Linked DNA regions of Daphnia pulex. The protein of the gene in region 1 purifies or fractionates together with the protein of each later gene. This does not show direct contact. Links are inferred from orthologs where the notes say so. Each region holds a gene or a part of one and is shown on either strand. Other genes may lie near its edges. The genes, in order: ribonuclease P protein subunit p30-like, ribonuclease P protein subunit p40-like and ribonucleases P/MRP protein subunit POP1-like.

The links.
Region 2: the proteins of ribonuclease P protein subunit p30-like (region 1) and ribonuclease P protein subunit p40-like purify together in Homo sapiens (affinity purification with mass spectrometry; 3 studies listed by BioGRID and IntAct, counting the BioPlex papers as one, with this or other methods). This does not show direct contact. The link is inferred for Daphnia pulex from reciprocal best matches to the Homo sapiens genes RPP30 and RPP40.
Region 3: the proteins of ribonuclease P protein subunit p30-like (region 1) and ribonucleases P/MRP protein subunit POP1-like purify together in Homo sapiens (affinity purification with mass spectrometry; 5 studies listed by BioGRID and IntAct, counting the BioPlex papers as one, with this or other methods). This does not show direct contact. The link is inferred for Daphnia pulex from reciprocal best matches to the Homo sapiens genes RPP30 and POP1.

The regions. Positions count from the first base shown.
Region 1 is NC_060018.1:996,101-998,949, forward strand, and holds ribonuclease P protein subunit p30-like, read right to left. Parts: upstream 1,620-2,849; coding exon 1,587-1,619; intron 1,521-1,586; coding exon 1,452-1,520; intron 1,393-1,451; coding exon 1,183-1,392; intron 1,083-1,182; coding exon 1,015-1,082; intron 953-1,014; coding exon 873-952; intron 805-872; coding exon 653-804; downstream 1-652. Other genes in the region: uncharacterized protein LOC124188900, read left to right, coding at 1-35; dynein regulatory complex subunit 4-like, read right to left, coding at 2,305-2,559, 2,628-2,739, 2,800-2,849. UniProt on the Homo sapiens protein: Component of ribonuclease P, a ribonucleoprotein complex that generates mature tRNA molecules by cleaving their 5'-ends. Also a component of the MRP ribonuclease complex, which cleaves pre-rRNA sequences.
Region 2 is NC_060026.1:1,155,372-1,158,729, forward strand, and holds ribonuclease P protein subunit p40-like, read left to right. Parts: upstream 1-1,282; 5' UTR 1,283-1,383; coding exon 1,384-1,506; intron 1,507-1,567; coding exon 1,568-1,874; intron 1,875-1,935; coding exon 1,936-2,061; intron 2,062-2,126; coding exon 2,127-2,310; intron 2,311-2,371; coding exon 2,372-2,586; exon of another isoform or gene 2,587-2,643; coding exon 2,644-2,729; 3' UTR 2,730-2,798; downstream 2,799-3,358. UniProt on the Homo sapiens protein: Component of ribonuclease P, a ribonucleoprotein complex that generates mature tRNA molecules by cleaving their 5'-ends. Also a component of the MRP ribonuclease complex, which cleaves pre-rRNA sequences.
Region 3 is NC_060026.1:2,974,581-2,978,820, forward strand, and holds ribonucleases P/MRP protein subunit POP1-like, read right to left. Parts: upstream 2,886-4,240; 5' UTR 2,844-2,885; intron 2,772-2,843; 5' UTR 2,747-2,771; coding exon 2,638-2,746; intron 2,569-2,637; coding exon 2,450-2,568; intron 2,388-2,449; coding exon 2,248-2,387; intron 2,192-2,247; coding exon 2,089-2,191; intron 2,030-2,088; coding exon 1,285-2,029; intron 1,225-1,284; coding exon 320-1,224; 3' UTR 297-319; downstream 1-296. Other genes in the region: dnaJ homolog subfamily C member 9-like, read left to right, coding at 1-169; histone H3, read right to left, coding at 4,053-4,240. UniProt on the Homo sapiens protein: Component of ribonuclease P, a ribonucleoprotein complex that generates mature tRNA molecules by cleaving their 5'-ends. Also a component of the MRP ribonuclease complex, which cleaves pre-rRNA sequences.

The DNA.
Region 1 (2,849 bases):
AGCATCAATGGGTCCCCGTCTCATGGGTCTACTAGACAAAAAACCAATAACAAAACGAATTCATTGCCAATTAAATTTCAAGCGATTTTTATGATTCATTGTATTCTTTCTTCCTCACTTATTTGACCGCATGCAGCCCACAGGTCCTGAACTTCTAGATCTTCCAAGAATCTGAAAACTTTTTACGTCCAACTGTTCACGTCTCCTCGTATGACAAAAGGGACAAAGTTGAGTTATTTTATACACACAAAATTTATTCATTCATTTGATTGAGTACTTTCTAAGCAGCACCGTTTTAGATTTTGTGACAGAGAACTTGACATATCCTTAATTTTGATTGTCATTCAATATAATACCTGAAGTGCTAATATGAAATTAAAGATCTTTCAAAAACGAGAAGATTATTAAGATTTAATGTTGTGTAGGTAGCTTTTAGGCTCTCTATACCTAGGGCAACATTTTGTTTGCATGAAAGTGTGAATGTCTATGACGTGCGATACATCGATCTATAATTGCAACATGTAAAGCCCTCCGCAAAAGCAGCTGTAACTTCAAATTTTCTGTTCTTATGTAGTTCAGCCATAATCTATTGATCAAAATGGAATACAAGTAAGTGCAAGATGTTGTCGAATTTCGTTTTTTGACTATTAAACTAAGCAGTTTCCATTTTCATCTTTTTGGGCTCTGGTTCTCCCGCAAGTCTTTCTTCCGCGTCAGTTATTTCCTTAGCTTTCCATTGTTCCTCTGGATCCAACTTGTCAGTTTCAGCAATAAAGCTGACACATTTTCCTGTTTTTCGAGTCACTGGAAATTCCCGAATGAAAAATGTAAAAGTGTAAAGTTAAATGCAGAAATTTATAGGGAATATATACCAGCATGAAGTGCAACGGATCGTCCACTCAAATTTAAAGCAGATCTAGCTTCTCCTTCACTTAATCCAAGAAGTAATCCTCTAAAATATGCAATGACTTATTTAGTCTCGTTAATAAGCAGTATCAACAATGTGTTCCTTACAAATTCGCTACGTCGTAAGGATTGCGAAGTTCTAATGGTGTAAGAGCTCCACTACTGATTATGACGTTCTACAGGAAGAGTTGAATATATATAGTAATAAACAACTAAGGCTCCAAAACACAAATAGTAAAATTTGGTCATTCTGAATTTGAAATAGATAAATCTCACCCGGGATTTGCCAACTGTATGGTACAAATGTGAAATCTGGATAATCTTTTTCCTATTTGACGAATCTCTAAGCATATGTGAATAGGGAATCTCAAAAAATATTCCTCTGTCAGTAGCTTGGCGATAATGTTTTCTGGTGAATCTCAGCAATTCTTTGGTTTCAGTCGGATGGTAGGTGATTATGTCTATATCCATGTTGGCTGCTGCATGCTATTAAAAAAAATAATTAAATAAAATTGATTTCAATCATAAAGATAAAAATAAAATACTAGAAAAGCAGCCGTAGTTGTTGGGCAGACAGCTATCAAATCAGATTTTTTGGTATTCCCCGATTGGATCTTTTGAGAAACACAAAATGCTTATCAGTAATTCCCAAATAAAGTGCATTTATATGGAGTACTCACAAGTTTCTGTGTATTCACAGGGTCACTGAGCATGACAGTCAACCGATGTAAGATTTTAACATTCTTCCCATGGACCTAAAGTAAGAGGTAAATTTGAATATAAAATCAAATCCATAGTTTCATTTTACAATACTTTAAATAAGTTCAACTCTTCTTCGGTGAATTTAAGTTTTAGAGGAGGTGGAACATCTTTTTTCTCTTCCTTTACTTCATTTTTCTTGTTCCCTTTTTTCTTGGTGTTGATTAAAACATCTTCTTCTATTGTTGTGTTAATAGCTATGGCACTATAACCAACTGAAAGAAAACAGAACAGGTGAAAACGACGAAATAGGGCAGGATTTTAACTAATTCATTTACGTTTGACAGCTCTCAACACGACTTCTTTAAGTGTTGTAGTAGGACTGCATGGACATGGGATATTGAAATCACAGAAACCTTGCACAGTGTTCATTGTTTTATATATTCGAAAATCTTTTGATAATTCAGTCACGTGCTTTGAAACAAAATCACAAATCACAAACGAAGCAAGCATGTGAATCAAGCAGACGAATTTCTGTCCCTCTAGCGACGCAAATTTATTTGTTTACCAACTTGACAGACACTTGTTAAAGGAAAATCACGCTTGATTTCGGTGTTTTTAAACAGTTAGAACACTAAGAAACAATATAACAATTAAAATGTGAAGTAATTAAATTGAAGTAGATTGTTCTGTTTTTGTTCAGTTGGCTGTTTTTAGTTTTCGTTGAGTGCTGGTTCCAACACCAGCACCATTGATGTCCAGAACTGCTGATGTAGACTTTGTTGAACCTACAACTGATTTGACAGAACCAGATTTGATGCTGATTCTTTCTTCAACAGCTGCTAAACTTTCATTGGAAGATTGAAATGATTTATCTGGAAGCTCCTCGTGGTGTGGTGCCTCAAAATTCATTTTAACCACTGTCTGTTTCCTCCCTTCTCTCAAAGACGATGACTGTACAGATAGAAAATGTGAATTAACAATTTGCTGATTAAAAGTGTGAGTGAAAGTGTGGAAATTACTACAGTCTCGCCAGACGCATTTGTACCCCCATCACCGTTTGAACCCGGACCGTGCGAGGTAAATTGCTTCAAAGCATTGTCCTTACACTTGAGAGTTTCTTGTAAAGATTCTCTGAAATCCAACAAATTAGAAGCTGTTATCTGTTTTCTCATATCTAATGAATTATTTTACAATTTTTTCTCTAGAACGAGTTGCTTCAAATTAGCTTTCTGTTGCACCTC
Region 2 (3,358 bases), on another chromosome or scaffold:
TTGAGAAGAGATTAGGATAAAAGACAAGGCCTCTAACAGTATCATCTCTACAAATCAATCCATTTCTTTCCATGAAATAAAGACGTTCTTGTGCCAACACAATCGATATTTGGAATTCCTGTGAAACCTCCAATGCTGTGAGTTTATCCCTAGCCTGTAACTAAAAAAATTTGAATATGTTAGGATTGCATTAAAGAAAAAGTAATGAATTTCAATAGAAGTATCAATTTGGCTGTGGGTTTAATAACTGTTATATTCATGTGCAACAGCCAGGACCTAGATCAGAAACAGCAATTGAGTTGAAAGTGTCGACCTCAGAATAATGAGAATATGAAATCATTAAAAATACATATCAACACGATACTGGCTATTCAATCAGGAGATCAGCCCATTAATGAGCTCTTAAAATTGATCGCAGGGCGCAGAAAAGAAGAAGGACACCCTTTGACAACACACTTGTGATAAAACCAACTTTGAAATTTTAGGGGATGCCCTGTACAAAACATTTAATTAATATGACTTCCACTACTTCAATAGTGGAAAACTTACATTCTACGGATTACCTGAATGATGTAGTATTTTTCCATATTTTTCTTTGGTCGAAGTTGTAATCCAGGTAAGAGAAAAAGCACTTTGAAAAAATACTCCCATAAGAGCCCATGTAAAAAAAGGGTGTGGTTTTATTAAGATGGCGGATTGCAACATTGTCGGACTACAAGAATCCTGCTATCCGCACGGTGCAAGAGGTCTATCAATTCTGAATATTCTGATTTCTGAATTATTAAAAGTCTGGGTAAGTAATTATTGAGTAATCTCTATGGAAAATAAGATTAATGGGTTAAATACTTATAAAAAGGAAGAGATTTTTGTGGGAGCTCGGAGGGTGTTTAAAGGAAAAGCAAGCTTAGCGGGTACAGTATTTTCTTTTTGTAGACCTTTTCCAGATGATTCTGATTAATGCAATTATCGTAATGCAGCAAATTGATCACTAAATTGAATGCTTACATAGTGGTCGTTATTCATTATGCTACAAATATTCGGTTAATCTATTGTATCGTACAAAATCTTCCAGAGTTCCAGACTTCATTAGAAAATCATTAGAAAATTATGAATTTTCCACGTAACTTCTTCTTTGGCCCTCTTTATTCATTGCCTAGGTATTTTATATCATTATTATAATATAGTCGACTTAGATAGTTTAAATAAACCGCGTAATGATAGTGACGCCATCTATAAGCTTTGAGATAAACTATCGATAACTAAAAACGTTTTCGCTAGATGGAGTAGGAACTGACTAAAATAGTAAACAAAACAATTACAAACCACACCGGATCGAAAACTTCTTCTTTTTTCGTTGGAATTAACTTTCAAATACTTCCTGAAATGTACAATCCAGAGGTAATAAATTTTCCTCCACCAAAATCCTTGAAACAAACATGCACATGGAAGAAAGACCAAATACTTAATAAAGTGCCTTCCCAAGACCTAGGAAATCATTTTCATGGGGTAAGAGTGAAACTTCAATAACTTTTTACATTATTCTAATAGAGGAGTATTCTTGTTACAGATTACTGCAATCTTGTCTGGGGAAATTACTGAAATAGCTGAAATTCAAGACTTCTTTTTAGACTCAACATTTTACAGAGTTAACAAATTCCCCGTTCATAAGTTGCTGGACCCTGATTTTCTCTCTGCATTTGTTAAAAAAGGACATTTTGATGCCAGAACTTTAGGAACATGGGGTGAAGTTGATCAGAGTATTGTTGTTGAATCAGGCAAACTTCATCTTTCTGTCTGCAAAGATGTGTATCAAGAGCTAGGGTTAAGTGGCCAAGCAGAGGTAATTTCATCCAAAAAGTGTCCTGCTAAATACGGTAACTTAATTATTCACTGTAAATTTTTTCAGTTTGTTAACATTGTATTTGGTTTTCGTAGACATTTCTGTTAATCTTCTTGATGATAAGTTTTCCCCTGATTCTAAATACTACAAAAGAGTTAGTTGGTGTTTACAAAATCAGACAAGTCTACAATTTGATTGGATCATGAATTGGCATCCACACGGTAAGGCTTTTCTTAATAGTGGAAATTGTATCAAGCGTTGACTAATAATAATGTTTTTACCACAGATTCTGACATCTGCCCATCTTCCCTTGCTGCTTACCTCGACTTGCTTGGCTTTCAGGTAGTTCAGTGTCTGCCATCCTTTGAAGAAAGAATTTTAAATCAAGTAAAGGTTCCACTGCTATGCACTGAAACAGACATTTCAGATGTTGTTGAATGGGTTGGAGCTGCTGCATTGAATATCACATGGTAACTAGATATGCTTTTAGAGTAAACTGAGATATTACATTCTTTGTTTTATTTATCTAAGTCCTGACCAAGAAGATTACACTTCTTCAATGACATGCCCAGAGCCCAGTTATAAATCTGAAAAGGTTCACATCTTGAAATGGAAAGGATTTTTTTCTGCAAGACAGGCAAAAGAGTTACTCGGCGTGATTTTGAAATTGCGACCAGAAGCAACAGAAAACTCTGTTCAATCATGGCTTAATCTCACTCTCATTGGATTTGATGAATTCCAAATAGGTGTGTTTTATTGGCAATCATGTTAATTTCACATATTAATTTATTTTTAATTTTCAGCATCAAGTATTTGCTCGGTTTTTACAACGGCATCGGACAACTGCCAAGTCTTTACAAACCAGACATCTAGAAGGAAAATCAAATGAATTCAATTCGACTTTTGTTATTTCATCTTCTGTAAAAACACATCTGAATAAATTAAGTCAGATACTGGATCGATTAAAACAAAAAATTAATCTTTTATATCTGTACCTCATAGTTGCTTACACATGCAACTGCACTCCGGTATCACTCGAGTTTTGCCATTACAAAAAGGAGGGAAAGAAATGTAATAGCCATGTCCTCAAACAGCCTAAAATTCTGTGTCGCAAAACAATTTTTTCATAGCATTACTTAATGATTAGAACTTAAAATTGCGTATTGTTTATGTTTAAGGACTGAATACGTTTTTAAAAGAAATCAAGCTTTACACAGCTGCAAAAAACGCGGAAACTAGTTATTTCTACCGCAAATTTTTACAAAGAACGTTTTCACTGAACGACGACTGTGTATACTAATAATGACATACCTTTGACAAAAAGAGGGCCATGAGTCAACAGCTCAGTAGGAAATTCAATCAACAGCTGTCGGTGCACTGCTGCGAAATACCTTGAAATAAAACCACAAAAGAAAAATATTTACCACATGATTATTCGTAACAGAAGTTTCGAATCCTCTCAGACCGCACCAGTCTCGTATGGAGTTTGTTCCTTTCAAGGAGATACACCAGCTGCAA
Region 3 (4,240 bases), on another chromosome or scaffold:
AGCTGACAATTTCTTCAGTGCTCTCGAGGCCAAGTACGGGGGTAAAGCGTCTAAAGAACGTACCACTAAAACGAGAAAGCAAAAGAAAGAAAGCAACGATGAAGACGATTCGGATAGTGAGGAAGTCATGCCTAAACGTGGGAAGAAAGGAATGGTTGGAAAGAAATAAAATAATTTGATGTTCTGCTTTCACTTTCATCCATTATACCATTACCAATACAATCTCGCTATGGGTAATGTACTATTGTAACCAAGAATTGATGTTCTACATTACACATAAAATAACTTGTGATAACTTCAATTAGTTTGTCAATGTATTTTACTCCATTGTAATTTCAGCCCACATGTACAAATTAGTTCCAGGATTTCGAACCAACACAAGAGACAAAGGTATTTGTGAAATGGCACGAATGACTATATATCCACGACCAATTCCTTTTCCTTCGCTAAGACCGAAATCTCCTTGAGTGACAAATCCAATGATCGGCCTGGCGAATGAAGTTTTTAAATTGCAGGAAGAAGGCAGCCATAACGAGCGAGTCTTTTCTTTGTGAACAGCAATTGCAGTGGCGCTGGAGAAGTCCCCAATGGTTCCATCTTTATCCCGGAATTCTTTCCTCTTTTTCGCAAGACTCTTCAGAAGGGAACTGTGCTGTTGGCGTAACATTTTCCGTTCTTTGGCGCAGGGATCTTGGTGAATAGGCTCGTTAATTACTGAATTAACTTTATCATCGGCTCCCGGTAAACAGATCATTGAAAATTCCTGAGGTGACCCGTGTTTAACTCGAACTGTCACGGGCACTAAATAAGGTTGAGATAATAAGATTTCGGGTAGCACAATCCTATTCTTTTGACACAATCCACTTAGGAGCTTCTTGTCACGTAATACAGTGAAACCTGACTCAGACTGACCGATCCAGTCGATTGTAAGGCGATCCCAATCGACGCAGAACGGAAAAGGTGTGGCTAATTTGATGAAGTTGGTTCTTGTTTTAGGTGGTCTACGAAAGTATTCTTCCATCAAATTCATTTTTCTGTCAACGGCAGTGGCTTTTCCTGCTTCACTGTCGATTTCTAAGCAGAGATCCCGACAAATTCCGTATTCAAAATTCATGCTTCCCGCATCTTTCAAACCTCCAGCGTGCCCTCCACTATAGATCAGTGCAAGCCAGAAAGCTGTAGCCCATCCAGCCGGCAAAATGACGTCACAGCCAGGAACAAAATCTTGAAAGGAAAAAAAAAGGTAAAAAAAAATTACATAATAAAAGAAATGTATTTACTTACCGCTGCTCTCGTGAGATGCATTCACAATGAGGATTGGAATGGGGATTTCTTCTGGCTGGACGGGTAACTCGGTGCCAGGAACAAGTAATTCACTACGACGGTTATTGATGACGTGATCGGGTAAACTTGTTCGCATATTGGTAATTTGATCTCGAACGCTGGCATCCCACAATTTACTTTGGCTCAATCCTACAAGTTCACAGTTACCTACCGTGGAACTGGACGCTTTGATTCGGGTTTGTGCGAGTATCATTCGAGGATCTCTGACTTCAACACTGGTGACAAACCCAGGTGATTGTGATAAACTTGACGCGCTCCTAGTTTCTTTGTCGAATAACGACGATACAACTGAATGTGCAAAGGGCCCTCTTAATCTGAACCGATTTAGCTTTCCTTTGTTTAAGGTAATCTTGACTCCAGGAGGCTTGCATAATAAGTCGGAATCGGATTCGAAAATAGAATTCAGCTCACACAGAAACTGTTGGTAGAAAGCTGGATGGCTCCATATCCACAAGGTTCGCATATCCGGATTCCCTGTATTGCACCACAAAAACGTAACCAAGCCGATGGGGCCGCTCGAAAACTGATTTCGCTTGAAAATGATCACTCTTCCTTCACGAGTGCCATTAAGGAAAGTAGACGCACCAAACGTTGGGCCAGTTTTAGGATCACAGAGAGAGATAAGGCCTCGAACGATCTCATCCTGTGGACCTTGAATTTCAACGCAACACAAGTACGATATGTCCTTTGAACAAAAAGAGGCAATTAATAATTACGTAAATCATTAATATTTTGAATTGATACCATTAGCAGGCAATGTTGAGCTACTGAACGGTAGCAGAATCTGTGACTGCGAGCGCAAGATCTTTCAGGAAGACGATGTCCCCACTTGATTACCATGTGAAACCTAAATGGTAAAAAGTAGTAACATGTCCTTAACATAACCTACAAATGGAAACAAACCTTTTGGCATGCCACAGGTGTGTTTCTAGCCAAGAGACTTTACTAGATCGCTTTTTATACTCTTCCAGCAATCTGCTTGGTCTGCGTCTATATTTCCTTCTAGGCCTCTTAGGCTGGGTTGCTGGACCACTCTTTGCCATCTAAATCCACATAAATATAGAGTTTATTCAGTGTGGAGCTATACTTTTATAAGCAGACTTACTTGGGCCTTGTGGGCTTCCCTTAAGGTTCTTGGCATTCTGTTTGGGTTATGGCTCATTGCTCTTCTTCGCATATGACATGGCAGTTTTTGAAAAAGTAATTTGGTGCATTGTGGATTTTCTTAAGGCAAACAACATGTTAGCAAATGTTGATAGGACAACTCTTTTTTTGGGGAGGGGGGAAACTCACCTATCATTTTTGTGAGAGCAACAATTTCCTGGGCTCTAACAGAAGAAAATCGAACGACTGATAAATCAGAAGGAACATTTTGCGTCATTTTGTTTCTTTCGTCAGTCATCTTACAAAAGGTGATTTTTACTTTTCTAGTAAGCAACGGTGATTAATTCAAATAAAGTTTGAAATTTTGAACATCAACATCACATGCTCTAACTCACGTGTCAACTAACTTGTTGTCGTTTTCGTCTGCTGTGGTAATCGGTCAATCTCGTAATCTCGTTGCCAAACTTTCCATTACAATTCTACGCAGATTCAATCTTCAATTTTTTTCTATTTTTCAAATGCTATTATTACCAATTTACCAGAACCACAGAACTACTGACTTACTCTGTTGTTTTATTTGAAGTGATCACGATATGGGTTAGAGCGGCGTTTTCATTTTCATATTCACTTTTTTAGTAGTTATCACATTCACATCACACATAACACAGTAAATCACCTTCCGGGGCTTCAATAAAGAGTAATGGAAATTTTTGAATCAATAAATGTGCCGTCCGAAGACGGGAGTTCGGAATCCATTGAGAAGTAGAGTCTTTTCAGACCGCTGACCTCAGAGAAATCAGAACTGAATCATTTACTCTCAGATCAAGTACTAAATGAAACAATTTGTTGTAAAGGTTAAATCTCTCTTACATAATTTGTTTTCCATTTGTGTTAAAGCGGGAAGAGAATTCCGTTCCGCTTCTACATATTAAGTTTTGGGAGGTCGCTGGTCGCACCGTCTAGAAAGAAGATTTTCCAACTGTTGGCCAACAGGTGGCTTGTTTTGTTTACTAGGTCGTCTGCATATATAGATTTTGATTGTTGTCTATGTTCTTGTTTCTCATTTTTTTTTTTGGGGGGGGGAGGATTATTGATTATTAAAACAAATAATTAGGGATTTGGAATGTGGTTGTGAATTTAAATGAAGTGTTAGGATTGAAAGATAAGTGCTGAGGACCGCAAGGATAAACCGACTGCCTGATTTTGTTTGCAAACCAGGTTGGTTCAAAGTTTTCAGTTTCCCATGATACTAATTTGTAGTCTAATCTGTTTACATGGTTTGGGCTTTACTTATTTGGGTGCAGTTCTAAAATAGGGCATGATTCAATATCTTTCCTTGTTTACCAAAATTTAGAAGTTTTCCATTGCACATTGAAACCATCGAAAAGGTTATGCTTGTGAAATTCTGGCATTTAGAAAGAAACCGTGGTTAGTGATGAGTAGAGTATTCTTTATTTTAGGCCATTCACATCAATGTGTGACGGTAAGAAAGATTTACAAGAATATAGTAATGAAAACAATGGTTGATTGGTAATCTTCTTCTTTAGTAAATGGTGGCCCTGAAAAGGGCCGATTGGTAAGTCAAAAGGGATTTTAAAAGTCGCTTAGGCACGTTCACCACGAATACGGCGAGCGAGCTGGATGTCTTTAGGCATGATGGTGACTCGCTTGGCGTGAATGGCGCACAAGTTGGTGTCTTCGAAAAGACCCACCAAGTAAGCCTCGCTGGCCTCCTGCAGAGCCATGACGGCCGAGCTCTGGAAACGCAAGTCGGTCTTGAAATCCTGGGCGA